Linked DNA regions of Oryctolagus cuniculus. The protein of the gene in region 4 interacts with the protein of the main gene of each other region in a pairwise test. Links are inferred from orthologs where the notes say so. Each region holds a gene or a part of one and is shown on either strand. Other genes may lie near its edges. The genes, in order: CASP9, DDX6, PHF1, BIRC7, POLR1C and UBE2K.

Evidence for each region.
Region 1: the proteins of BIRC7 (region 4) and CASP9 interact in binary tests that used the Homo sapiens proteins (3 or more experiments, as listed by UniProt). The two-hybrid records come from large-scale screens. The link is inferred for Oryctolagus cuniculus from reciprocal best matches to the Homo sapiens genes BIRC7 and CASP9.
Region 2: the proteins of BIRC7 (region 4) and DDX6 interact in a two-hybrid assay, tested with the Homo sapiens proteins (3 studies listed by BioGRID and IntAct). The two-hybrid records come from large-scale screens. The link is inferred for Oryctolagus cuniculus from reciprocal best matches to the Homo sapiens genes BIRC7 and DDX6.
Region 3: the proteins of BIRC7 (region 4) and PHF1 interact in binary tests that used the Homo sapiens proteins (3 or more experiments, as listed by UniProt). The two-hybrid records come from large-scale screens. The link is inferred for Oryctolagus cuniculus from reciprocal best matches to the Homo sapiens genes BIRC7 and PHF1.
Region 5: the proteins of BIRC7 (region 4) and POLR1C interact in binary tests that used the Homo sapiens proteins (3 or more experiments, as listed by UniProt). The two-hybrid records come from large-scale screens. The link is inferred for Oryctolagus cuniculus from reciprocal best matches to the Homo sapiens genes BIRC7 and POLR1C.
Region 6: the proteins of BIRC7 (region 4) and UBE2K interact in binary tests that used the Homo sapiens proteins (3 or more experiments, as listed by UniProt). The link is inferred for Oryctolagus cuniculus from reciprocal best matches to the Homo sapiens genes BIRC7 and UBE2K.

What each region holds. Positions count from the first base shown.
Region 1 is NC_091438.1:154,078,765-154,083,062, forward strand, and holds the start of CASP9 (caspase-9), read left to right. Parts: upstream 1-1,498; 5' UTR 1,499-1,655; coding exon 1,656-1,787; intron 1,788-4,298. UniProt on the Homo sapiens protein: Involved in the activation cascade of caspases responsible for apoptosis execution. Binding of caspase-9 to Apaf-1 leads to activation of the protease which then cleaves and activates effector caspases caspase-3 (CASP3) or caspase-7 (CASP7).
Region 2 is NC_091432.1:111,456,271-111,460,534, reverse strand, and holds the start of DDX6 (probable ATP-dependent RNA helicase DDX6), read right to left. Parts: upstream 2,801-4,264; 5' UTR 2,675-2,800; intron 2,103-2,674; exon of another isoform or gene 1,631-2,102; intron 1,612-1,630; exon of another isoform or gene 1,513-1,611; intron 1,435-1,512; exon of another isoform or gene 1,013-1,434; intron 1-1,012.
Region 3 is NC_091436.1:135,735,585-135,739,785, reverse strand, and holds the start of PHF1 (PHD finger protein 1), read left to right. Parts: upstream 1-1,401; 5' UTR 1,402-1,596; intron 1,597-2,280; 5' UTR 2,281-2,296; coding exon 2,297-2,455; intron 2,456-2,539; coding exon 2,540-2,621; intron 2,622-2,729; coding exon 2,730-2,825; intron 2,826-2,989; coding exon of another isoform or gene 2,990-3,080; intron 3,081-3,254; coding exon 3,255-3,355; intron 3,356-3,435; coding exon 3,436-3,584; intron 3,585-3,732; coding exon 3,733-3,828; intron 3,829-3,981; coding exon 3,982-4,050; intron 4,051-4,191; coding exon 4,192-4,201. UniProt on the Homo sapiens protein: Polycomb group (PcG) that specifically binds histone H3 trimethylated at 'Lys-36' (H3K36me3) and recruits the PRC2 complex. Involved in DNA damage response and is recruited at double-strand breaks (DSBs).
Region 4 is NC_091442.1:589,206-593,444, reverse strand, and holds the start of BIRC7 (baculoviral IAP repeat-containing protein 7), read left to right. Parts: upstream 1-1,439; 5' UTR 1,440-1,631; intron 1,632-4,239. Other genes in the region: YTHDF1 (YTH domain-containing family protein 1), read right to left, coding at 513-592, 1,041-1,074.
Region 5 is NC_091436.1:126,548,517-126,552,599, reverse strand, and holds the start of POLR1C (DNA-directed RNA polymerases I and III subunit RPAC1), read left to right. Parts: upstream 1-1,283; 5' UTR 1,284-1,344; coding exon 1,345-1,413; exon of another isoform or gene 1,414-1,444; intron 1,445-1,524; coding exon 1,525-1,596; intron 1,597-1,893; exon of another isoform or gene 1,894-1,960; coding exon of another isoform or gene 1,961-2,041; intron 2,042-2,784; coding exon 2,785-2,892; intron 2,893-3,101; coding exon 3,102-3,234; intron 3,235-3,456; coding exon 3,457-3,576; intron 3,577-3,658; coding exon 3,659-3,811; intron 3,812-3,965; coding exon 3,966-4,083. Other genes in the region: protein YIPF3, read right to left, coding at 1-73, 246-443, 956-1,036. UniProt on the Homo sapiens protein: DNA-dependent RNA polymerase catalyzes the transcription of DNA into RNA using the four ribonucleoside triphosphates as substrates.
Region 6 is NC_091433.1:33,605,609-33,608,657, forward strand, and holds the end of UBE2K (ubiquitin-conjugating enzyme E2 K), read left to right. Parts: intron 1-1,234; coding exon 1,235-1,363; intron 1,364-2,279; coding exon 2,280-2,354; 3' UTR 2,355-2,549; downstream 2,550-3,049. UniProt on the Homo sapiens protein: Accepts ubiquitin from the E1 complex and catalyzes its covalent attachment to other proteins. In vitro, in the presence or in the absence of BRCA1-BARD1 E3 ubiquitin-protein ligase complex, catalyzes the synthesis of 'Lys-48'-linked polyubiquitin chains.

The DNA.
Region 1 (4,298 bases), on a different chromosome or scaffold from region 4:
CCCTTTGCCATTCCAAAGGAAACACACTAGCCCCTATCACTGCTGGACCAGAGGCAGGCCACACGTACTGTGGACCACTCAGAGGTCCACACAGGAGCGGGTCATGCACTGCTCACCCCCAACTTTAAAAAAAAATTATTCATTTGTTTGAAAGGCAGAGAGAGACAGAGACAGACACACAGATTGTCTTCCATCTGCTGGGTCACTCCTCAAGTTCCCGCAATAGCTGGGGTTGGGCTAGGCAAAAGCCAGGAGCCAGGCGCTCCGTGCAAGTCTCCCACGTGGGTGGCAGGAGCCTCACTTGCCGCAGGCCCAGGCGCATTAGCAGGGAGCTGGATCGGAGGCGGGGCACTGGGGCTGCCCCCTGACATGAGCTGCAAGAGTCGGCGGCTGTACCACAAGGCCGGGCCCTCAGCCCTCGGGAAGGAAGGAAGCAGCAGGGGCCCACCTGCCTGCCCTGAGAATGGCAGTAAACCTTCCTTCTCCCTCCACTGCCGGTCAGCGACTGGCCCCGAGGGCGCTGGGCAAGCGAGCGGTCTTGGGGCGATCTACAGCAATTCCTCCTACTAGTTTTGGGGATATTCTACAGTCTCTGTAAAAGCCGTCTTCATCGATTCTGGTGAAAGACCCGGAAATCCGTGTCACGGTCCAAAAGCAGTTAGCGGTCCTCAGGATGCGGCCACGGGGCGGGCTCTAGGGCGGGACGAAGGCACGGAGGCGGACCATAGGGCGTGGCGAAGGCGCAGGGGCGGACTATAGGGGTGTGGCGAGGGCTCAGGGGCGGTCCTGGGGGGAGTGGCGAGGGTGCGGAGGCGGACCGTGGGGGCGTGGCCAGGACAAAGGGGCGGGCCTTTGGGGCGTGGCCAAGGCTCGGGGCGGACTATGGGGTCGTGGCGAGCGCGCGGAGGCGGAGCTTGGGGGCGTGGCGAGGGCTCAGGGGCGGTCCTGGGGGTGTGTGGCGAGGGCGCGGAGTGGATCCTTAGGGGGGGTTGCATCGAGAGTACGGAGGCGGGCCGTGTGGGCGTGGCGAGGGCGCGGAGGCAGAGAACGGGGGCGTGACGAGCCGCGGAGGCGGGACATGGGGGCGTGGCCAAAGCGCAGGGGCTGACTATGGGGGTGTGGACTATGGGGTCGTGGCGAGGGCGCGGAGTGGGTCCTTGGTGGGGATGCTGCGAGGGTAGGGAGGCGGAGCATAGTGGCATGGCGAGGGTGCGGAGGCAGACTATGGGGCGTGGCGAGGGCACGGAGGCGGACCGTGGGGGCGTGGCCAAGGCGCAGGGGCGGGCTATGGGGCGTGGCGAGGGCGCAGGGGTGGTCGGGGTGGGGGGGTGTAGCGAGGCTCTGAGACGGACCAGGAGGGGTGTGGCGAGGGCGCGGAGTGGTTCCTTGGGGGCGTGGCGAGGAGGAGAGGGCGGACTATGGGGGCGTGGACTATGAGGTCGTGGCGAGGGCGCAGAGGCGGGGGCGAGTAGGCGGGGAGGCGGCTGGGGTGGGGGAGGGACGTGGAGGCGGGAGCGAGGGGTGATGAGGAGTTGGGACGCAACGCGGAGGCGGGTCCTAGGTCGGGGGCGGATCCGGGGTCCCGGGTCTTAGGGCGGTGCTGGGGAGCGGGCCCGGAAGCGGACGGAGCCCCGGGTCCGCGTCTCCTGCCGGCCATGGACGAGGCCGACCGCCAGCTCCTGCGGCGCAGCCGGTTGCGGCTGGTGAAAGAGCTGCAGGTGGCCGAGCTGTGGGACGCGCTGGTCAGCTGCGAGCTCTTCACGGCCGACATGATCGAGGCCATCCAGGTGCGCCCCTCCCTCGCCGCCCCTGACTTCCGCGGGGCTCAGTGGCAGCTCCCGCGCTCGCTTCCCCAAGTACCCCCACTTTGGGGTGCCCTGTGAGCGGGACCCCGCGCACCTCTTGGCTGGGTGCGGGTTACAGCGGCTGCAGGCTCTGGTGTTTCCCTTCTGCAGCACCCTGGTCCCGGGCACCCACCCTGGGGTCGGGCTGCCCGTCAGGGTATCCTTGGGCAAGTCACTTAGCGTCTTTGAGCCCCAGTGCTCTGGGCAGTGATGCTGACCCAAGGACCAAGTGAGACGGTGGATGTGGAAGAGCCTAGAGCCAGGCCCAGAGGGCCCTGTCCACTCTGGCGGGTCCCTAAGGGGCTTTTGGAAGTCAGGAGACCTGATGCGGATAACAGAGAGAAAGGATACATTTGAGGCTGTTCGTGGCTGACCCTCGCCTGGGGCCGGTGAGAGTGTGGGGGTGCAGTGGGTGTGAGTGACTGGCTGCAGGCCTCTGGCCCGGGTTCTGGGCCCAGCAGGCCCAGCCTCGGTGTGGGCACCCTCTCCCTCCCTTTCCTCCTTTCCAGCCTGGGGACTGGCTGCACATTTGCAAAGTGGAAAAAATGCTGCTGCTTCATTTTTCCAGCTGCTAATTAACAATGGCTAAGTGACAGGGAGGCGACCACACAGGAGATCACAGACAGGACAGGACCTTTCAGAGGCTCCGTCGTTAACCTGCAAGGGGAGGGAGAGCCTGTGGGGGACCCCCCGGCACCCACCTTTCTCCCGTGGCCCCTCCATAGTAAGCGCAGTGTGTCCTTGCCCTCCACGCCCAGTTCCTGTGTATCGACTGTCCAGCCCGGGCCCTCCCTCGCCTGGCCACAGCCTGAACTCACGGCCCCTCCCACCCTCTGGGGAACTGTTGTGTGTGTTTGCCTCCTCCCAGACCATGGCCTTGCCCCGGAACGAGTCTGTGATAGACTGTGGCCAGCTGTAAGTGAGTCTCGGGAGCACCTGCTGTGGGGCCTGGACAGGGAGTAGAGATGGCTGGAGGTGACAGTTCCTGCTTCAGACACGTTCAGGGGGACTACAAGCTCAGATGCCCATGGAGGCCTGGGTGGGCGCCATGGTGGGCAGCATCTGTCCTGCCACCCGTCTCCAGCTGCGTGTGCTCAGGCCAGCATGCAGGCCCAGTGTTACTAGGTTTCTTAGGTATTTATTTATTCGTGTTTCTTTTTTTTTAATATTTTATTTATTCGAAAGGTAGAGTTACAGACAGTGAGAGGGAGAGACAGAGAGAGAGGTCTTCTGTCCATTGGTTCACTCCCCAAATGGCTGCAACAGCCAGAGCTGCGCTGGTCCGAAGCCAAGAGCTGGGAGCTTCTTCTGGGTCTCCCACGCAGGTGCAGAGGCCCAAGGACTTGGGCCAACTTCTACTGCTTTCCCAGGCCACAATAGAGAGCTGGGTTGGAAGAGGAGCAGCCGGGACTAGAACCGGCGCCCATATGGGGTGCTGGTGCCGCAGGCAGAGGATTGACCAAGTGAGCCACGGCGCCAGCCCCTATTTATTCATGTTCCTAAAAGATTTATTTACTTTTTTGAAAGGCAGAGTTACCGAGGCAGAGAGAGAGAGAGATTGATTTCATCTGTTGGTTCACTCCCCAGATTTCTTCTGGAGCTGGATTGGAAGTGGAGCAGGCGGGACTAGAACCGGCGCCCATATGGGATGCCGGCACTGCAGGCAGTGGCTTTACCTGCCCCCTATTTATTCATTTTTTAAAGATTTATTTATCTGAGAGGTGGATGACAGAGAGGTGGAGGCAGAGAGAGGTCTTCAATTTGCTGGTTCACTCCCCAAATGGCCACAACGGCCTGAGTTGGGCCGATCCGAAGCAAGGAGTCAGGAGCTTCCTCCAGGTCTCCCACACACATGCGGGCATCTTCTACTGCTTTCCCAGGCCACAGCAGAGAGCTGGATCAGAAGTGGAGCAGCCGGGACTGGAACCTGCGCCTGTATGGGGGGGGGGTACTAGCACTGCAGGTGGTGGCCCCTGTTTATTAATTTTTAAAAAGATTTATTTATTAATTTGAAAGGCAGAGTCACACACACACACAGAGAGAGAGAGAGAGAGAGAGGAGGAGGGAGAGAGCTTCCATCTGCCGGTTCACCCCCTAAATGGCCAAGGCTGGGCCAGACTGAAGCCAGGCTCCTGGAACTCCATCCGGGTCCCCCACATGGTAGCAGGGCCCCAGACTGCTCTTCCTGGGAGACTTGTCTCCTCAGTGGTGTGGTGGGTCTGTGCTGTTCAGTGTCATAGTTATTGGCCACTTGCAACTGTTGGAAATGTAAGTGTTCAGTACTTAAAAATTAAATAAAATTGGGGTCCGCGTTGTGGCGTAGCCGGTAAAGCCACCACCTGCGACAGCAGCATCCCATGTGGGTGCTGGTTGGAGTCTTGACTGTTCCACTTCTTCTTCCTCTTCTTTTTTTTAAAGGTTTATTTTGTTTGTTTGAAAGACAGAGTTGCAGAG
Region 2 (4,264 bases), on a different chromosome or scaffold from region 4:
TTCTCACATACACAGAGCTGTTTATTTTTAAAGTCTTCCTGAATCAGAGCACTTAGAGGAGGTTATGAACCTTTCCCGTATTGACAGCTTTAGATTATGATCAACCGTATCACATAGTTCATATAGGGAGACTTATTTGTTTGCAAAACATTAGGAGGATGAACAAGGCAATCTCTTAAAAACGAAACCGTATCTTCATTACTGCCCATCACCGCGCATCTCCCTAAATCCAAAATAAGACTATGTGCTAACTGCTCCCCTCTTAAACTGAAACCTGCACTGCAGCTTTATGTCTCAGAGAGGAAATATTCCTCCTACCCCTTCCCAATTTAGATGTGCAGGTTATAGTTCTACGTTAAGAAAAAAAAAAAAAAAAAAAGACAAAACGTAGACTATCTGGGAGGAGCCCCTGGTGGAATTAATTACAGCACTTCCCAGATCGTAGTTAGCAATTGACAGTTTCACACCCAAAACAGTACCGTCATCTCCAACGAGAGCTTTTGTTTGCAAATGCAGCGCAGTTTCTCCAAGCTCTGGCTGCAAGTTGGAGTGACTGGGTTTTATTCCGAAGAGAGGGAGCGGGGGATCGCGGAAAAGGAGTCAAGCCAGTGTCGGGAGCCCCGCAACTGTATGGCACTCATTTCTTCCCCTGCCTCCCCCCAGTCTCACACTTCGAGTCAGCTCCTTCAGACCACAAAAACAAAACGGTTGGGTCCCCGCAATCCTATCTGCGCAACAAGGGCCAAAACTCAGCTCCGCGGCAGCAAACAATAGGGACTGCTCCAATAAAGGGCCCGAAGAGACCCCTACAACCTAGGACGCCCCTCCTTCCCTCCGCGACCCGGGGGCTCCACCAACACCCTCTGTTTATCGACCTACAAGGCCTACTGCAATCAGGCAGCAGCCGGTCCTCCTCCAGCCGGAGCCCTCCAACACGGCAGATCCGTGCCGCCCCCTGTAGGGCTGCCTCGTACCCCATAACCTCCAACATCATCTCCCCCCCAGCCCTTACCGCCCCCTCGGGTCCCCACAGCCCCTCGTCTTCCACAAAACTCCTCGGAGCACTCGGCCCGCTCCTCCTCCTGACCCCGCCGCGCACTGCATTCCCATATTCGACTCCTCTGAGGCGCCCCCACCCCACACAGCTGCCGCCCGCCCTTCCTCCCCCAGGCCCGGCCAGGCCTTGGGCCTCCGCCCGGAGCGAACCCCTCGCCGGCCCGAGGGGCTCCCTGAAGCCCCCACGGCACCGCCGACCTCGACCCCGCCGCCTCACCCCCGCGCCCCGCGGCTCTGGCCCGAGTCCTACCACCGAGGCCACTCCCGCTCGGCACCCTCGGTCCTTTATTGTTGACTCGAAGCTCCCAAAATGGCGGCGGCTCCTTCCTCCTCGGAAACCTCCGCCCGCCCCCACCCGGCCCCTCGCTGTGGCCGCCCCCGCCCCCGCCCCCGCCGCACTCCCGGGGCCGCGCCGCCGGCAGCCCGCGCCGCCGGCTGCCGGGCCGCCCAGCCTACCTCCGCCGCTGCCCGCTCTCTCGGCGCCGCCGAAGTCGCCGCCGAGCTGAGCTAACTCGGCTGTCTGCCCCCTCCCTCGCCCGCCCGCCGCCGCCTCCCTCCCTCCCTCTTTCCCTGCCTCTCCGCATGGCGGCGGCCGCGGCTCCTCCTCCACTCAAGATGGCGAGAGCTCGGCTGTCGCGGCCGCCTGGCTTCCCTTCTTCCCTTCTTGACGGCGAGGGGAAGCCCGGCCGGAGAAGCTCCCTGAGGAGGGGGGAAGGAAAAAAAAAAAAAAAGCGGGCCGTTCTCTCACACCGACGGGTGGAAAGCTGCAGGGGGAAGCCCGGCTGCTGTCTGAGGGGACAGGAAGGCCGAGGAGAGATGCTCGGGGAATGGTGGCTGAGGAGAGTCGCCGGCCTTCACGCCTCCTGCGTGAAAACCCGGGGTTGTGACCAGAGGCGGATCTGCTTGTTACTGCCCCAAGACCGGTCCCCAGCACTGCCGGGCCGGAGGCGGGAGGCTGACCTGGCACCCCCGCGGGCCGGGGGCCGCGTCCGAGCCCCTCGCGCCGCGTCTCCGCCCGGGAGCGCGCGGAACCAGAGGCCCCCACGCGCCCGCCGACGCGCGCCCGGGGGCGGGAGGGGGGCGGCCTGGGACCCGCGGTGGGGAGGGCCCCGGGGCGCGCGGAGGGCGGGCAGGGGGGGTGTAGGGACCGCGCCGGGCGGAGACCGTGCGCCTGGGAGGGGGAGCTGCGGAGAGCACGCGGGGTCTGGGAGGCGACCCCGCCGTTAGGGCGCAGGGCTGGGCGGCGCGACCCCCCTCTACTGCCGAGATCCTCCAGGGAGGGGCCGAGCCTCCCCCCAGAGGGGAACAGCACTGAGTCGTCTCGGTGGAAGCCGGGCAGTCGGTAAAGATCTGGGCGCCCGCAGGCGGAGAGTTTTTTCTCCCGCCCGCCCCTCACTTGTAAAGATTTTTAGGCATTTCTCCTCATGATTACTTCTCAGACCCTAGCGTCTCCGTTTATCCCCAACAGAATAACAGAAATGCTGTGGTGTCTCAAGTAAGAAAAAAAAAATTTGGCTAGGCCGAGGGAAAGTAAAATCCTAGGTCGCACCCGGCTGGGAAGCGGAATATACAAACGGACAATGGCCAAAGCGTATGTGACAATAGGACTCCGACCCACCTCCGCAGCAGCGAGCCCAGAACGGTCAGCACTTGCTCACTGACTGGCAGCTTCCATGTTTTTTTGCCGCTGTGCCGCTGTCCCCAACTCGGAGCCAATCAGAGAAAGCCAAATATGCCGCCGCAACCAATCACGTCCGAGGCCCTGCTTCTCGCTCGCCCTCCTCCCGCTTCCCGGTGCCAGCACGCGCCAATCGCGGCCGACCTGACGCCTTCCCCGTTTTTCACCATGAAGCTTTCCTACTCCCCCGCCTGCCTGGTCCCCACCACTCCGAGGGGTCGTGGCTGCGGATCCTACGGCACGCTCTGAACGCAAAGCCTGGTCTCGTTTGGCGGTCTGGAAAGGCTGTCGAGAGCAGTGAAAAGACTACCCTTGACGTTAAAAAAAAAGTCCCCTTATTTTTTTTTTAAATTCTAGGTTTAGAGCATGCCATCTCCCACCCAGATTTTAAAACACCTAGTCGTGAAGAGAGAAACCCTGCACCCTATTCCATCCTGTAGAGAAGACGGCTGGGTGATACCGTGTGAGATCCTCTTTGCCTCACTCTCTTCCCACGTATCAGGTGTGTGAAGGGTTGGGAAAGGGGCTTCAGGATTTACACCAGGTCCCTTCCCCCACACTGCTCAAGGAAAGGGTCCACAAATAAACTGTAGCCTGGATGAGGTCACGACAAAAATGGGCAATATGAAATGACCACCCATCTCACCTAGGAGTCCTTCTGAGGCGAAAACCTTTCGAAATTCTGTATAATGATCTTTTAAGATGGGTAAATACTCTCACATTGTTGGCCCTTTTCAGTTTTCTGATGGGATACGTAGATGGTTTAAAATTAAGCTAGGAACCCTGGATCTTTTATTCTAGATTCAGCTTTAGTGGTTGATAGGTCAAACCATTTCAAACCATTTTGTCCTTGCTGTTTTCAAACAGATTAGCAAGAATTGTGAAATATGACACTTTAGGAAAAAAGATTATTTGGGGCTGCACAGACTATCATTTATAAAATGTATTTTTAGGGGGTTGGAGAGAGGATAGCTAATGGGTCCAGGGGTGCAGTTGGGCAGGATAACTCTGATTGGCAAGAATTAATTGAATATTTCAAAATAGCCACCTAGCTGCTTTCTCTCTAGGGTGAACACGAGGAACAGAGTTCCCCCCTTCTGTGTGACGAGGTATTTTAAAATCTGGGAGATGGTATGCTAGAAACAGAATTTGAAGAGGATTTTGAATGTTCCTAGCACAAGAAAAGTATGTGAGTCTGAGGTGATAGGTATGCCTGATCATTACATGTTGTACATATGTACATATGTATTGAAAATGTCACACTGGACTCTTAAATTATGATAATTTGTTGGTTTGAAAAATTATTTTTTAAGAAGAATGTAATATAAATCAAATCCTTTGGTCTTTTAGTTAACATGGAGTGGAATAATTGTGAGTACTCTGTAGCAAATACGGTTTCTGGAGGATGTGCCAGCTCCAGTGAGGCCACCTGTTGTCATCAGAGTTTTCCAAGAGACAGCGGCCATTTTCTTTTTAAAAAATTTTATGTATTTATTTGAGAGGCAGACACAAAGAGCTCCCATCCCTGGT
Region 3 (4,201 bases), on a different chromosome or scaffold from region 4:
TGCTTTACGGGGTGGAGGAAGCTATCTATGTACCCGACTTATCAAATAAAGAATAGTTTTTTTTTTTTAAATAAAGATTTTATTAGCATTTGCCCAAAGAGGAAAATATTTTTCATATCCGTTAAGACAGGAGCTGTGGAGGTGCCTATCCAGCCATGTGTTTGTGGGCTAGGAATTAGGGATTAGGTTTCTCTCTTTAAACTTTTCTTTTCTGAAAGGAGACCTGGAAAGCTAGTTCACTCCCCACATGCCCGCCACAGACAATGCTGAACCAGGAGCCCAGAACTCAACCTGGGTATCCCACCCATGTGGGGGGCAGGGACCTAGGGTGCACAACAGCACCTGGAGTTGGAAGCCAAGCTGGGGCAACCGAACGTGGGATGGGGGTCGCAACCCGAGCTGTGTCTTTTTTTTCTTAAATTACTTGAAATGAAGTTAGAGGGGCAGATCTTGCACCCGCTGGCCCCCAAGTTGCGTCTTAACCGCTAAGCCAAACGCCGGCCTCGGGCTTTCCTCACCTGCTCGGGATCATCTGACTCCCTACGCGCCCTCCCCCGTCGCCACTTCCTTGAAGGGTGCCGCCTGGTTGTCCAGCACAGCCACTGATGGAGCTCCCCTACGACGGGCACCCGGGCCCTGCGGCGGTGCGGCGCGCGCTCCCACCAACTGCAGGCGCTGTCCTCCCGCCCTTTCCTGCCTTCGCGTTCGAACCGCCGGGGCGCTGCCCTCCTGCTGCCCATTGGCTGGCTCTCGGCGGCGTCACCGCCCCGGGTACTAGCCCTCTGCGTCCCGGCGCCCGCCCCGCAAGCGGGAGGGTGCGCATCCGCGCCGACCCCTCGCGCTCCCCGATGTCGGCCGCCGCCCGGCAGGGGAGGGGCTCGGCCTTCCCAGGTGCCGTGCGCGGGAGGGGCCACGCGTGCGCAGAGCCGCGGCGGGAGGGCGGGGGGCCCGCGGGCCACGGGGAGGGCGGGGCCGGGGCATCGGCGGGAGGAGGGCGGGGCGAGGGCAACGGGAAGGGTGAATGGAGGGCGGGGCCGCGAACTGGGGCCCGGGGGCGGGACTTGGAGTGACCACGGGGGGTGGGGCAGCTAACGGATGTAGCATGGGGCGGGGGGCCAGTCTCGAGGCAGGCCGCCGGGAGGGGGATTCCCTCTGGCCCCAAAGGCGAGCCTGCCATCCGGGGAAGGGGCCGCGGGGATTCCCTCTCCTTGCCGGCTCGACTATTCGCGCCCCGAACCGCTGAGGGGCAGCCGCTCGCTCGCGCCCTCCAGGCCGCTGGAGGTGAGGGAGGTGGGGTGAGGTGGTGCCCGCCCCCCCTTCGGCTCCTCCTTCCCCAAGTCCTCCCCTCCCAGCCGGTCCGTCCCTCCCCTCCCTCCTTCCCTCCCTCCCCCCGCCGCCTCCTCCTGCCGCTGCCGCTGCTTTGGCTGCTGCGTCATACGCCCCAGAGCCGCCGGGACGGAGGGGCTGGGCCTGGGGACCCCCCGGCCTCCGCCTGCACGCCCCCGGGCGCCCGGACGTGCCCTCCCCGCGCGGGGGGCTCACCTGGGTCTCAGACGTCTGCCCCTGCCTGGCTCCCGGCGGCCCCAGCTGTCACCGGTAAGGAGGCGGGCAGGAGGCGCTGGTGGGGGGGGGACAGGGAGCCCGGGGGTCGGCGCGCAGGGCGCGGGCGGGAGAGCCTTGCCGCTCTGGCCTCGGGTCGGGCTGGGCCGACTCCAGTGCCTTCTCGGACTTGCCGTGGTGGGGAGGAGAGAGCGGGACTGGGACACGCCCCCCTCCCAGAGCACTCGGGGAAGTTACCTAACCCAGGGGCAGGAAGCCCCGAATTTGAGGGTGACCTGACATAACCGGGCACCGGATGATTGTTCTGTGTGAGACCAGCAGGCCGGGGGACAGCTGTTTCTACTCTGGAAAACACCTCCAGAAACGCTCCCTAAACACATGCCTGGGCAACAGTACCGCGGTGGCGATATGTCTAAGCAGAGGGGAGGGTGAAGCTGAGTAGCAATCTCTGCTTCTCCAGCCATCATTTCTCCTCAAATCTTAAGACCGGGCTGTGCTATCCCAGGAGAGCGCTCGGTTTTGGGGAGGGTGGCCAGGAGAAGTGGCCACCAGAGTTGGAAGAGTTGGGAGTCCGGACACTGAGTGGCTTCCCGTCCTAGTGTCCCAGGGTTTGGAGACCAGGCGTGCAGAGACTGATCCCTGACAGAAAACTAGGCAAAGAAAATGGGCACGCTTCCTCAGCATTCCTCACCATCTCCTTCCCGCCTCATTTCTGGCCAGGCCCCCCCAGGATGCGATGGCGCAGCCCCCCCGGCTGAGCCGCTCTAGTGCTCCCTCACTTTGGGACCCGGCGTCCCCGGCCCCCACCTCAGGCCCCAGGCCTCGGCTGTGGGAGGGTCAAGATGTGCTGGCCAGATGGACTGATGGGCTGCTATACCTGGGCACCATCAAGAAGGTAAGCCCTTCCTCTGACCTCTCACCGTCCCGTTCCCCTTATCTAAGTCTGGCTCCCTTTTCATCCTGTGTTCACCCACCCCAGGTGGACAGTGCTCGGGAAGTGTGTCTGGTCCAGTTTGAGGATGATTCCCAGTTTCTGGTTCTGTGGAAAGACATTAGCCCTGGTGAGACCCCAGAAACCTCAGCCTGCAGCCTATGGCAAACAGAAACCTGGCATGGGGGGGTACAGAGGGCCTCGAGGGCAGGCCTCCTGACACAGGGTTCCCCCACAGCCGCCCTCCCTGGGGAGGAACTCCTCTGTTGTGTCTGTCGATCTGAGACCGTGGTCCCTGGGAACCGCCTGGTCAGCTGTGAGAAGTGTCGCCACGGTAAGAGGCAGGATACCTGTGGGAGAGCTTGCCCTGGGCCTGCCAGCCTGTGTCTAGCCTGCCCCTCCAGCACTGCTCCTGTGTCACGTCGCTTCTTCTGGCCCAAGTCCCCACGCCACTGCTCTGGCCAGTCTCCTCAAGACTGAAATCTTGCCCCCTTTCAGCACAGGGAGAGGCAGCCATGGAATGAAGGTGGTATAAGTTTAGCAAGCAGAGGTGATTCAAAGACATCTCTCTCTAACCATGTGACTTCAGGCAAGTCCCTTAACCTCCTGTTCTCTCACTTGTAAAATAAAGATAATACTTTCACGCTGGCAGAACCGTGGTCAAGGATTAAATAAAATGGGTAAAACTGTTCCTACCCCAATACCAAGCACACATGGGCATGCAATAAATAAGTGGTCTACTATCAACATTATCATTATTCAGCTTATCACCAGGACTGCCACGTTCCCCGGGCCCCAGCCCCTGGAGAAGGAGAGGGCACATCCTGGGTCTGCCGCCAGTGCATCTTTGCGATCGCCACCAAGGTAAAGGCACCCTCCTACTGCGCCTCTCCTGAGCCTGTCCCGCCCACCTCTGAGGCCTCCCGCCTGCTGTATCTCTGCAGAGGGGAGGGGCACTGAAGAAGGGCCCCTATGCCAGGGCCATGCTGGGTATGAAGCTGTCTCTGCCGTACGGACTGAAGGGGCTGGACTGGGACGCCGGACATCTGAGCAACCGACAGCAGAGCTACTGCTACTGTGGCGGCCCTGGGGAGTGAGTAATGAGAGGTGGCAGATCCCAGGGGGTGCAGGAGTTAGAACAGGGTGAGGGGAGGACGGGGGATGGGAGGTAGGTGCCGAGCAGGGTTTGGGGCAGTTAGGGGGAAGAGGGTGTCTGAGGCGACTCGTCCCGTTTCCCTCAGGTGGAACCTGAAAATGCTGCAGTGCCGGAGCTGCCTGCAGTGGTTCCATGAGGCCTGCACCCAGTGTCTGAGCAAGCCCCTCCTCTACGGGGACAGGTGAGGGCGTGGCGGATCCTCAGGGGGCCAAGCTGCCCCGCCCTGTGCTCCACACTCTGCATTTCCTCGTCTGTCCACCCTCCTTGCTTCTGAGCCCTCCATGGCATGGTTTTCCACAAGGTGACACGTCCTCTTTCTCTTGCCCACATCCAGGTTCTATGAATTTGAATGCTGTGTGTGTCGGGGAGGCCCTGAGAAAGTCCGACGGCTACAGCTTCGCTGGTAAGGTGGACTGAGCCTGACCTCAGTGTAGCTTCCTTCCCAGCACCCTCCGCGTTGCACCCTACATACCCCAGCCGCCCATCTCAATCCCCTGGCTTTTGAAATGCTTCTTGTGGCCTTGACAACTCCGTGTTTCTCCAGGGTGGACGTG
Region 4 (4,239 bases):
CGCTCGGCCGCTCCCCTGGACTGCGGTGCCGGACTCAGCACAGCAAGCAGCACCGCCTCCGCCGTCAGACAGGCTCACAGGCCCCCTGCCTCCCCCGTCAGGCAGGCTCACAGGCCCCCCGCCTCCCCCGTCAGGCAGGCTCACAGGCCCCCTGCCTCCCCCGTCAGGCAGGCTCACAGGCCTCCCTGCCTCCCCCGTCACACCCGAGTCCCGGCTCCAGCTTCCTGCTGCCCACACCGACAGGCAGCAGGTGACCGCTCCGATGTCCTTGGGTCTCCGACACCCACACAGGGGCGGGGATGGAGCCCTGGCCCGGCCATGGCTGGGAAGTGACCCGGTGCAGGGGGCTCACCGGCTCCCACTCTCTCTCGAGAAAGAAAAAGACACCAAACACCGATGCACGAACCCCGGCCCGGCCCGGCCCGGCCAGCTGCCCGGGGCGCCAGGGGAGGCTCCGCGCTCCAGGGAGGGCCTGGGGACGCAGAGCCAGGGCGGGGGCGCGGCAGGCTCACCTGACTCGACTGGCCGGGAAGGTAGGGCTCGAAGTCGGCGTCGGGCACCGTCTCCTTCGGCTGCAAAGAACCACTGTGCGCTGGAACAGGAAGCCACAGGGTCACCGCCCGGCTCCCGACTCAAGGCACTTCCCGGAAGCGACGCTTCGGTCTGGAGCTCGGCGGAGGCGGCGCAGGGCGGCCGGCAGCTCCGGACAGCCCAGGCGCGCCGCAGCCGGATCCGGCTACACCCGAGCCACACGCACGGCGCCCGGCAGCGGTCCGCCCCGGGCTCGGCAGCCGGGGCGGCGGGCGCTCCCCGGCTTCTCGGGAAGCCGCCCCCTCCCCGCCGGCTCCGGGCGCCGGGGCCGCGCTCACCGTTAGCGTCTTGTCCTTTTGTTCCCTGCAGCGGACGCGGCCGGAGGGAACACTCGGTTACCCACGGCAGGACCCGCCCGGCCCCCAGGTCCCGGCAGCACGGCCCCGGCTCCCGGCCCAGCCCTAGCCCGGCCTCCAGGCTCCGGCCCCGCGACACCGGCCCGGCCCTACCTGGGGATCCACGCTGGTGGCCGACATGCTTCATGAACGCCGCCGGCTCGGGCCTCCCGCGAGGCCGGGCCTGTCCCCGCCGCGCGCGGCCCCCGACGCCAAGTTCCCGGGCGCCGGCGGCGGTGCTGGCTCGCGGGGCGGCGGCGGCAGCCGGGCGGGGGGCGCACAGAGGGGGCGCCAACTCCAATGGCGGCAGCAGCGGCAGCGGCAGCGGCAGCAGCGGTAGCGGCGGCGGCGGCGGCAGGGACGAGGCTGCGCGTCGTAAGCGCGCGCGAGGCACGCCGGGAATGACGCCCGGCCGGCACGCACGCGCCTGCGCCTCCCCGCCTTGCGGGACGGATTTCTCTCCCGGGTCTCAGTCTCGCGCGACGGGGGCGGGGCGAGGTCGCGGAGGCGGGGGCGGAGCCCGAGAAGTCACGTGGGGCGCGCCCCGCAGGGCGGTGGGGCCGGGCTGGGACCCGGCGGCGCCCGCTGTGCACCTGCTCCTGTGCGGTTCGCTTGGCGGCGACGGCAGCGGGAGCCCTGGGCACGTCCATCTTTATGGGCCTTGGGGTCATCCCGGGGTCCGAAGGAGAAACGCCGCATTTACAGGTGCGCGGGGCTGGGGAGCGGGCTTCAAGCCAGGCCGCCCCTTCCCGGCCCCGTTCTCATTCGCCAGCCCCGCGGAGGCCCCTGCCCGTAGCCCCTCCCGGTCACTCCCGGAGGTGTCCCCTCGGCCCCACCGCGGCCACGCCCCACCATGGCGTCCAGGTGGCTGTTCTCTTTCGGCCCTGGCAGGTGCCATGAACGCATGTGGCCCGAATCAGTCCTGTCCTGCCGCAGGGAATGCTGGGCCGGCACGAGGGGCAGGAATGACCCCAGAGAGGCCAAGCAGAGGCGCTAAGCCGCAGTGAGGGCCGGGCAGTCCCTGTGCCCCTGAGATAGGGCAGCCTGGGCTTCCGGCTCAGCCGGGCCCTGACAACATCTCACCACTTCAGGGGAGGCCCGCACCACGGCTCCCGGCCTCGGCTCCAGTCTCCAGCGCTGGCCCAGCGCTGGACAGGCGGGCATGTTCGCTGCAGCACCGAGCCGGGAGGGACGGCTGGCGCCCAGGTTGGGTGCAGACGGTTGAGGCTTGGATGCACCTGGCCGTGGGGAGACAGTGCTTTTATCTGGGCTGCGTCCAAAGACGAGTGAGGCGTGTCCAGGCTGGTGGTGGGCACAGGAGGACACGGGGCTCACGGTGGCCAGCAGGGTGCTGAGGGGCAGGGTAGCCTTTCCGCCTGTCTGTGGCTGAGCCCAGAACATGGGGAGAGGGGGCTGCACACCTGCTCCCAGGGTCTAGGACGGCAGGGCAGCCATCTCTGGGCCCAGGAGTGTCCATGGTCAGAGCCCCTCCCCCTGCCTCCCCAGCTCACCTCCCTCTGGCGGACGGGGCAGTGGCCCCTGGTGGGGCGTGGGGCCACGCAGCCACTCATGTCCTCGGCCCCGAGGTCTCCACGCAGCCACTCATGTCCTCGGCCCCCGGGTCTCCACACAGCCACTCCGAGGTTCTCGGCCCCCGGGACCACCTTTCCCCCCCTCGCAGGGTTGAGTGGTGCACGCAGCCTCCGGCGCCAGGCCATGGCCCCCACACACCGGCTGTCACTTGGCACCTGCACGCATGCCCAGGCAGCTGCAGGAGGCCACACTGGCCGCTGGGGTCTCGGGCGGGTGTGGGCTGCGGGTGCCTTCGTTTCCAGGGCTGAGGCAGCCAGGGCCCTGGGACCAGGGCCACAGAACACGGGGACCTCACTTCCTCCCGGCCGAGGCGGGGTCTGAGCTCAGGGTCCCGGGACTGGAATCAGGCGCGGGCAGTGCCGCGCTCTGTGTGGGGCTCCTGGCCTGCAGTGGCCGCCCTTGGCTTCCCGGCTGTGCCTCACTGGCGTCTCTGTCGCTGGGTTCAGCGCCCACCTGAGTCCGGGGCAACCTCCTCCCACTGCTGTGCCATCTGCAGAGACCCTGTTTCTGAATGGGGTTGCCTCAGGGGTCTCAGGAGGACATGAACTTGGTGGGGGGCTCCCCAGCACACTGCGAGGGTGGGGGTCAGGTCTGTACTGCGGTGCTGACCGGGGCTCAGCGGGCAGTGTGGCCAGGAGAGGCCTCCACTGGCCAGGAAAGGGGCGGGTGGGGTCGATAGCCCCTGCTCGCCACCGCCCCCCTCCAGGCTGCTGCCCACCTCTCTGCAGCCGGAATGCTGACCCGGCGGACGCGAGAATCAGGCCTGCCCTCTGCTGGTTGGCAGGGAACCGAGGGACTGAATGAAGGGACGGTGCTGAGAGGCTGAGCCCAGAGCCGCGCCCGGGGGACGCCTCTGCTGATGGTCTGACTGCAGAGAGCCACGGTCTGGCCGCCGTGGGGTGGGCGTGGGCAGTAGGCTCACCCCCAGCCCCACTCCTGCGGCAGGAGCAGGGTCAGACCACGGAGCCCCCAGGTGGCCCTGGCTCAGTTCCACAGAGCCTTCAGGAACCAGGGCACTCGGCCCCCTGCCGCTGTGGCTGATGGCTTGGAGCTGTGGCCTCAGAGAGGAGCTGATGGTGGTGGCTGGAGGGGTGGGCTCCCCACCCTGCAGAGCCCCTGGCCCTTCTGGGACTGGAGTGCGGCTGTGGACATCTGGGGCGTGTGGCCACCTGCATAGTGCACGCATGGGCGGGGCCCTCACTGTCCGGGGCACGGGGAGGCAGGCAGGGCTGTGGGCCGCCAGGGAGGAGGTCAGGGGGTGGAGCTTGCTGTGGTGCACAGCCCCCGCCTGGGCTGGCCCTGTTGGCTGGGGGCAGGAAGGCCCCCAGCACTGAGGAGGCCCACTGGACATCGGGGGCAGCTGGTGCTCCCTGCCAGGGAAATGCCGCTCCTTGCGCTGTGGGCAGAGTGAGGCTCCTGTGCAGACCTCCCTGGCGGACGGGGGTCTTGTCGCTCCACAGCTGTGGAATTCTCCAGTGTCGCAGCGTGGAAAGGGTTCAGCTTTTGTTTATTCCGAAGTCAGGCAGGCACATAGTTTTAAAAAGCCTCAGAGCGCACTAGGTGGGAAGCAGAAACCACCACCCCCAGCCCCTTCTGGAGGGAGCCCCCAGGCCCCCAGCTGCTCTGTCTGCCTCGCCCGCTGTCTGAACCCCAGTTCTTGGAAAGCTGGAACTTGGGGATCCACAGCCCCTGATGGTCAGCGCCACAGCCGGCGCCTCGC
Region 5 (4,083 bases), on a different chromosome or scaffold from region 4:
AGGGTCTCAGGATGTCGATGTTGGCATACAAACTGAAGGCTCTGGAAGCTTGTCTCTTCCCGGCCTGCCACATCTGAGCGGAGATGCGGGGATGGCCCGTGAGGCTCCTGGCCCTGGGGTCCTGCTCCCTAGCTTCTGTCGGGGTTCTACTGGGCTCCAACTGGGGCAGCCTGAGGTCAAGGTCACCCACACGACTCCAGATCGCGCAGGTATCCTGCACTTGCCAAGGATTCAGCCCCGCTTACCTGGTCAGCCACCTGCCGGCTCAGCTGCCCCTTAAAGCCCTTCATGCCCAGGAACTCCCCATCCTCCTCTTCCGCAGCGGCCGCGTCGGCGTCCACTTCTTCCTCGCGCAGGCGCTGGTGCAGCTCACCCATGTCCTCGAAGCTGGAGCCCGAGGTGTCATCCATGTTCTCCATGTCAATCACGGCAGAGCCCCCACCCTGTGAAGGCAATGCCTCCTACAGTGCAGGCCTTTCTGGTCCCTGCCCCGCTGCTGGCGCCGCGCCTCCGAATCCCCGCACATCAGGCCACTGTCACCCCTCACTTTCTCTCAGAACCCCCTGGCTGCTGGTTCCGGCGCTCTCCTCTAGCCCGAGAAGCCACCTACTTGTCTTCCGCTCATGCCTTTTCCCCACCTTCCCCATCAAAGGCCCCGAGGGTTTGCAAGGCGCAAGCAAGACCATGCACACAAGATGTTTCTGGCGAGTGCCAGCGAATCCCGCCCACTGCCCCGCTTGACCCCGATTGACCTCCTCTTCTGTCTCTCTTCCTAACGCCTCAGGCGCGTCCAGAGACCCGAGGCCCTCCGGCCGGCACTAGCTTCACTGACTTTCCCGTGCACGAAGACCCAAAGGGGAGAGGAGTGTTGCAAATGGAGGAAGCTTTCGGGCCCCGAGGGAGGCTTCCCCAGACACGTCGGGGTGGCCGGCAGCCGAAGCGCTGGGGCCATTACCTGGATGTTTTCTTCGAACCCGCCCCATTCCGGGCCGGCCCCGTTTCGAGCGCCGCCGGCCGGCGCCGCGGTGGCTGCCATGTCCCTGGAGGGCTCCCGTCCCCGAAGCCAGCGCTAGCCCCGCGCGCGGAGGAAGAGGGGGCAGACGTGGGCCTGAGGCACGGAGACGTCCAGGGCCGAGGACAGGCGCCACCAGCCGGAACGCAAAAAAGAGAAACCCGGATGTTTGGCCCAGACAGACTTCCGGAAGTTGGGGACGTGGACGGAGGCGGGGCAAAGTCTCGCGATACGTCGGGCTCCGGGAGGCGGTGCGTTGCCACGGCGACGGAGGAAAGCCGCTAGAACGCACGCGCAGGCGTGAGGCCTTAGTCTCGTGGGGGAAGTCGAAGATGGCGGCGGCTCAGGCCGTTGAAGAAATGCGGAGCCGCGTGGTTTTAGGGGAGTTCGGAGTTCGGAATGTAAGCCTTGTGGCCTTGAGTTCAGAAGGAAGTATGAGAGGGACGGGTCGGGATCAAAGTGAGGGCGGGCTTGGCTTCGCTGCCTCTTCACGGACGGACCCGTATCTCTAGGTTCATACCACCGACTTCCCCGGGAACTATTCCGGTTATGATGATGCCTGGGATCAGGACCGCTTCGAGAAGGTGCGTGGGGCCGGAGTGTGATCGGAGCAGCCCGGGCTTCCGAGCTGCTCCCAGGGGTCACTCACGTGGCAAAACCAAGTTTGCTCAGCATCCGACCGTGTCCTGGGCGCTCCTTGCACACCGGGCTTCTGCCTTGTTCTGCGATCGAGCTGTTCAGGCCTGTACAGGTCATTCTAGTTGGATGCGGTGACGGCGGCTGAGAGTGGGGGTGGGGCACCCCTCAGAGACGGTCTAGACTGGGGCAGAATCATAGGATTCCCTGAAGGAAGTGACATCTGAGTTTGAGCCCTGAACGGTGAGTGAAGGTCGAGGAGGGAGGAGTAAGCGAGCTAACTTGTAAAGACGGGGTGGGCGTGTCCCTAGAATGTCCGAACCGCGCATTATTGATAGAATGTTACACTGGCCTGACGGCGGGCACTGGGGGTTCTTGAGCAGGCGTGACCAGGTGATCCGGTTTGCAGCTTTGGTGGTTGAGAAGGAGGAGAAGGGGCGGGCAGATCGCTAGGCAGTGCTGGGGGAAGGAGCCCAGGAGTGCTTTGGTGAGAGCGGTCAGGACTTTCTGGCTGTGGGAACTCATCTGACGGCTGGCGGTGCCTGGGCAGTGGGAACGATGACCCATTCGGTTCCCCGCGGTGTGGAGGAGCTAGCAGCCCAGGAGAGCGTTCGACAGAATGTGGGGAGTTGTCCATAGTAGTTGCTAAAACCGTGAGTGTGGTTGATGTCACTTTGGAGAGAGACAAGAAGCTGGGGACCGGTAACACCTAGGTGGTGGGTGGAAGGAGACGCAACTCCTCAGATGGAGGACTGGTGCCCAGACACGGAGGAGATGGGGTTTGAGAAAGGAGTTTTTTTTTTTTTTTTTTTTTTTTTTTTTAATTCAATGCCAAATGTAACATTAGTAAGAAAAGAACTGAGTCCTGTCAGCTGGACTAAACTGTATAGAAGTTTCTGCTCTTCATAGAATAGCTTCTGGCTCAAGCCATATTGCATAGGATTTTCAACTAGTGGCATACAAAACTGGGGGCATTGTTCAAGAAACTAAAAGAACAGAGGAAGAAAACATCAAATGAGGCTTTGCTGGGCAGAGGAAGGCTTCTGGGGGAGCGGGGATGTTCCGTGTCAAGGGGGAGCTGTAGCCAGGTCACACCAAGAGCAGGCTCCATCCACTTGTTTTTCCTTTGCCTCTAGAACTTCCGCGTGGATGTGGTACACATGGATGAAAACTCGCTGGAGTTTGACATGGTGGGAATTGATGCGGCCATTGCCAATGCTTTCCGGCGAATTCTGCTGGCGGAGGTATCAGCGGGGCCGGTGACGGCTGGAGCGTGGGGAAGTGTGCCATCACCTCATCTGTCAGTGTCTCAAGTTGCCCCCCCCCCCCCCCCCCGATTTTGTGGAGTGTTTTGCTTTAAGTTTTTATGAGGCATTCTTCTAGGAGTTGTCCATCTCAGGAGGTGGGGAGTCTGCCGGGTTTTTATAGACGGGTAATCCTGGTCTCTGGGTAGGTGCCCACAATGGCTGTGGAGAAGGTACTGGTGTACAACAACACATCCATCGTGCAGGATGAGATCCTGGCTCACCGCCTGGGGCTCATTCCCATTCATGCTGATCCACGACTGTTTGAATATCGGAACCAAGGTGAGGGCCTGGGAGATGAAGCTGTTGGGGGAAGTGGAACCGCTTTCTTCCTTAGTAGATCCTGGGACCAGCTGCCTGGGTTCGAATCCTGGGTTGACTCTTGTGGCCCTGGGCAAGTGACTCATCATCTGTGGACGAGAGGAGCAGCACACGGGTAGCACTCGGCAGTGTCTACCCTGATGCTCACTGCTGCTGTAAGGGCCGCCTCTTCCCTTTGTGCAGGGGACGACGAGGGCACAGAGATAGACACTCTGCAGTTTCGGCTGCAGGTCAGGTGCACTCGGAACCCCCACGCTGCTAAAGATTCCTCTGACCCCAACGAGCTCTATGTGAATCACAAAGGTTAGTGGGCAAGGAGGGAGGCCTGGCTGCTGGCTGTGGGGGCGTCTCGGGGCTACAGCCCTCTGACTTGTCTTCCCTCCAGTGTACACCAGGCACATGACGTGGGTTCCCCTGGGGAACCAGGCTGACCTCTTCCCTGAGGGCACTATCCGGCCGGTGCACGATGATATCCTCATTGCCCAGCTGCGACCTGGCCAAGAGATTGACCTGCTCATGCACTGTGTCAAGGGCATCGGTGAGACCCGTGGGCCGCCTCAGGTGCAGGGCGTAGCTTAGTCGCCGCAGGAATCCAGGGATGCTCCTGACCGGCAGAAGGCGGTGGGCTTGGGCTTTCGCGCTCAGTGGCTCGGGAGAGGATTCCCCCAGGCTGATCTCTCCCTTCCCTGCAGGCAAGGACCACGCCAAGTTCTCACCAGTGGCGACAGCCAGTTACAGGCTCCTGCCAGACATTACCCTGCTTGCACCCATAGAAGGGGAAGCGGCTGAGGAGCTGAGCCAGTGCTTCTC
Region 6 (3,049 bases), on a different chromosome or scaffold from region 4:
AGTTTAAAATAACGGGTGCCTGGGGGAGGGGAATGTCAGCCCTTACGGTTTACTGAGTGTTCGTTGTTTTTCCTTTTCTAATACACTGCCCTCTTGTGTTCCTGTCTTCAAGGTGGTTCCATGTTAGTTCCTCTGTTTCTCCTCTTCTTCTTTCAGTGGCAGTTCCTACATGATTTGCAGTGTCAGCACACTAAGCTTCATCTTCTGAATTCTTGTTTTTCAAAGCACGCTTTTTCAAGTTTGCATTAATTTTTACTTAATCATTTTATCCACTCTGCCATGTTTCCTCTCTGAGGAAACTGAATTTCTTTATCCTTTAAGATTTTAATTTACAAATTATCTCTTCTAGAAACTTTTCCTTTCTCTTGAAGATCTGTTCACTCCTTGTTTTATGTATACCCCCTTCTTAGTATGTTCAATGAGTTGTCAACAGATTGCTGGTAATTATAGCTTTCTGTTTTCTGAATTCTAGCTTTGATTTCCTATTGAATTCTAAGCCCACAGGCTAAAGTTTATACTACAAGGATTACCTTAGTTCCTAAAATTGTCCAATAATTTGACTTACTTAATTGTTAGGAATTAATGATAGAAATTGCATTTACGCTTTTAATAAGCAGTAGAAGCTTTTCAGTATTAACATATTCAAAATCTATAAAATACCTTAAAGATAAATGTTTGACTAAATGAAATGGTTGGTGTTCATTTATACTTTGCTTTACTAAGAAATGAGGGTTCTAGAATATTTTGAGAATAAATGTATTTCCATTGCCTGTGAAAAGTCTTAACTTCTGAAAGTACTCTTGAGTTTGCAATTATTCCAAAGTGTGTATTATACATTAGGACTTTGCATGTGAGGTTTCCTTAAATCACATACATTAATATAACTCTGGGACAGGAGCAAAATCTGATTTTAATTTTATAAGCTACTAATTCTGTGTATAGTTGTATAGTGTTTGTTGTACTGTGTAACATTTCTGATAGTTAATTTTTTGCTAATTTGTTAAATTTTTAAAGTAGATTAGCTTTACTTTTCTTTCGTCAGTACAACTTTGAATTTAAAACTTCAGGTTAAACAGTCTTTTCATGAGTAACATAGTTTATGATGGGAAGTGAAACCACATTTTAAATATAAATTTTATTTGTTACAAGCAGGGTTGTAGGCAGTTGAGAACTGAGTTACAGTATTGTATGCTATGACCGTATTGTCATTTTAGTCAACTTTTCCCCCTTGCAGTACAAACAAAATCCTGAAATGTTCAAACAGACAGCTCGGCTGTGGGCGCATGTGTATGCTGGAGCACCAGTGTCTAGTCCAGAATACACCAAAAAAATAGAAAACCTATGTGCTATGGGCTTTGATAGGGTAAGTACCTAACGGTGTTTTGATTTTGATACACTGATTTAAAATTATCTCTATAAATCCTTGGCTGACAAGTAGTTTAGAAAATGCAGTTTTGTGGGCCGGCGCTGTGGTGTAGCAGGTAAAGCTACCTGCCTGTGGCTCTGGCATGTATGGGCACCGGTTCAAGTCAAGGGTGCTCCACTTCAGATCCAGTTCCCTGCTGATGCACCTGGGAAAGCAGCAGAGGATGACTGAAGTGCTTGGGCCCCTGCCACCCATGTGGGAGATCCGGAAGAAGCGCCTGGCTTCTTTCTTCAGATAAGCCCAGCTGCAGCCATTTGGGAAGTGAACCAGCACATGGAAGATCTCTCTGTGTAATTAACTCTACCTTTTAAAAAACACCAGGGCCAGCGCCGGCACACCGGGTTCTAGTCCCGGTTGGGGCGCTGGATTCTTTCCCGGTTGCCCCTCTTCTGGGCCAGCTCTCTGCTGTGGCCAGGGAGTGCAGTGGAGGATGGCCCAAGTGCTTGGGCCCTGCATCCCATGGGAGACCAGGAGAAGCACCTGGCTCCTGGCTTTGGATCAGCACGGTGCGCTGGCCGCGGTGGCCATTGGAGGGTGAACCAACATCAAAGGAAGACCTTTCTCTCTGTCTCTCTCTCTCTCTCTCTCTCTCTCTGTCCCCTCTGTCTGTCCAAAACAAACAAATAAAAAAACACCAGAAAATGCAGTTTTGGTAAATGTTCTGTTACTATAGCCAATGATTTTTGTTTTCCTTTTATTGATTCCGCTTACTGATTTGGGAAGCTTTTTATGTGCTACAAGTACTTACTGAAAGGGAAGAAAGAAATGTTTGATATGTCAATATAAAGACAGCAATTCAAAACAATTTAAAAACATTGTCTTGAGAGTTTGTTTTGTCCCTTTGTCTCCACAGAACGCGGTAATTGTGGCCTTGTCTTCAAAATCATGGGATGTAGAGACGGCAACGGAGCTGCTCCTGAGTAACTGAGGCCTGGCGAGCTGCAGCCCAGTCAGGCGGCCTCCTCTCCGGGAGCTCCGGCATCGCTATTTTTAGGATTCTGCATAGATTTCTTTTAAACTGGCATTCTTGCCTAATGATGTTATCTAGGCACCATTGGAGACTGAAAAAAAAATCCCTGCTCTGTAAATAAAGCTGATTAAACGTCTGTGTAAATTTAAAAAAGGGGAAATACTTTAATTTTTTTTCCTTAATAGTGTAAAAATTCTTTGAGCTAAGCTAAAACCATGAAAAAACTTGCTACTTTAGTATTTAGTGGTGTACCAAGACTAGCAAGAGTTCGCTTCAGGATTTTGTTGAATAATTAAGATTCTATTTTGAGTGTGTCGGTGTTGCATCACAGCTGCCGTAACTGTGTTCAACATGGACCCTCTGTGCCTGTGCATTTATTTGCATGCTTGTACTTGACTTCTTAGGATGGGTAGCTGAAAAGACCACCGTTTTACACATTGGAGAATTCTTAGATACAAGAGTCATCCAGATTTGAAGATGGTGACCTGTTCAGAGCCTTTTGTCCCTGTCCTCAAACTGGGACACCACGTCTGTTTTCCCTCTTATCACTCACAGCTAGCGTGCTGACGGAAATTCCTCTATTTGATGGGGAAGTGTGCTGAGCAACAGGGCCCCTTACCCCACTTTTAGGTTGTAGGTTTGAAATATTTTCA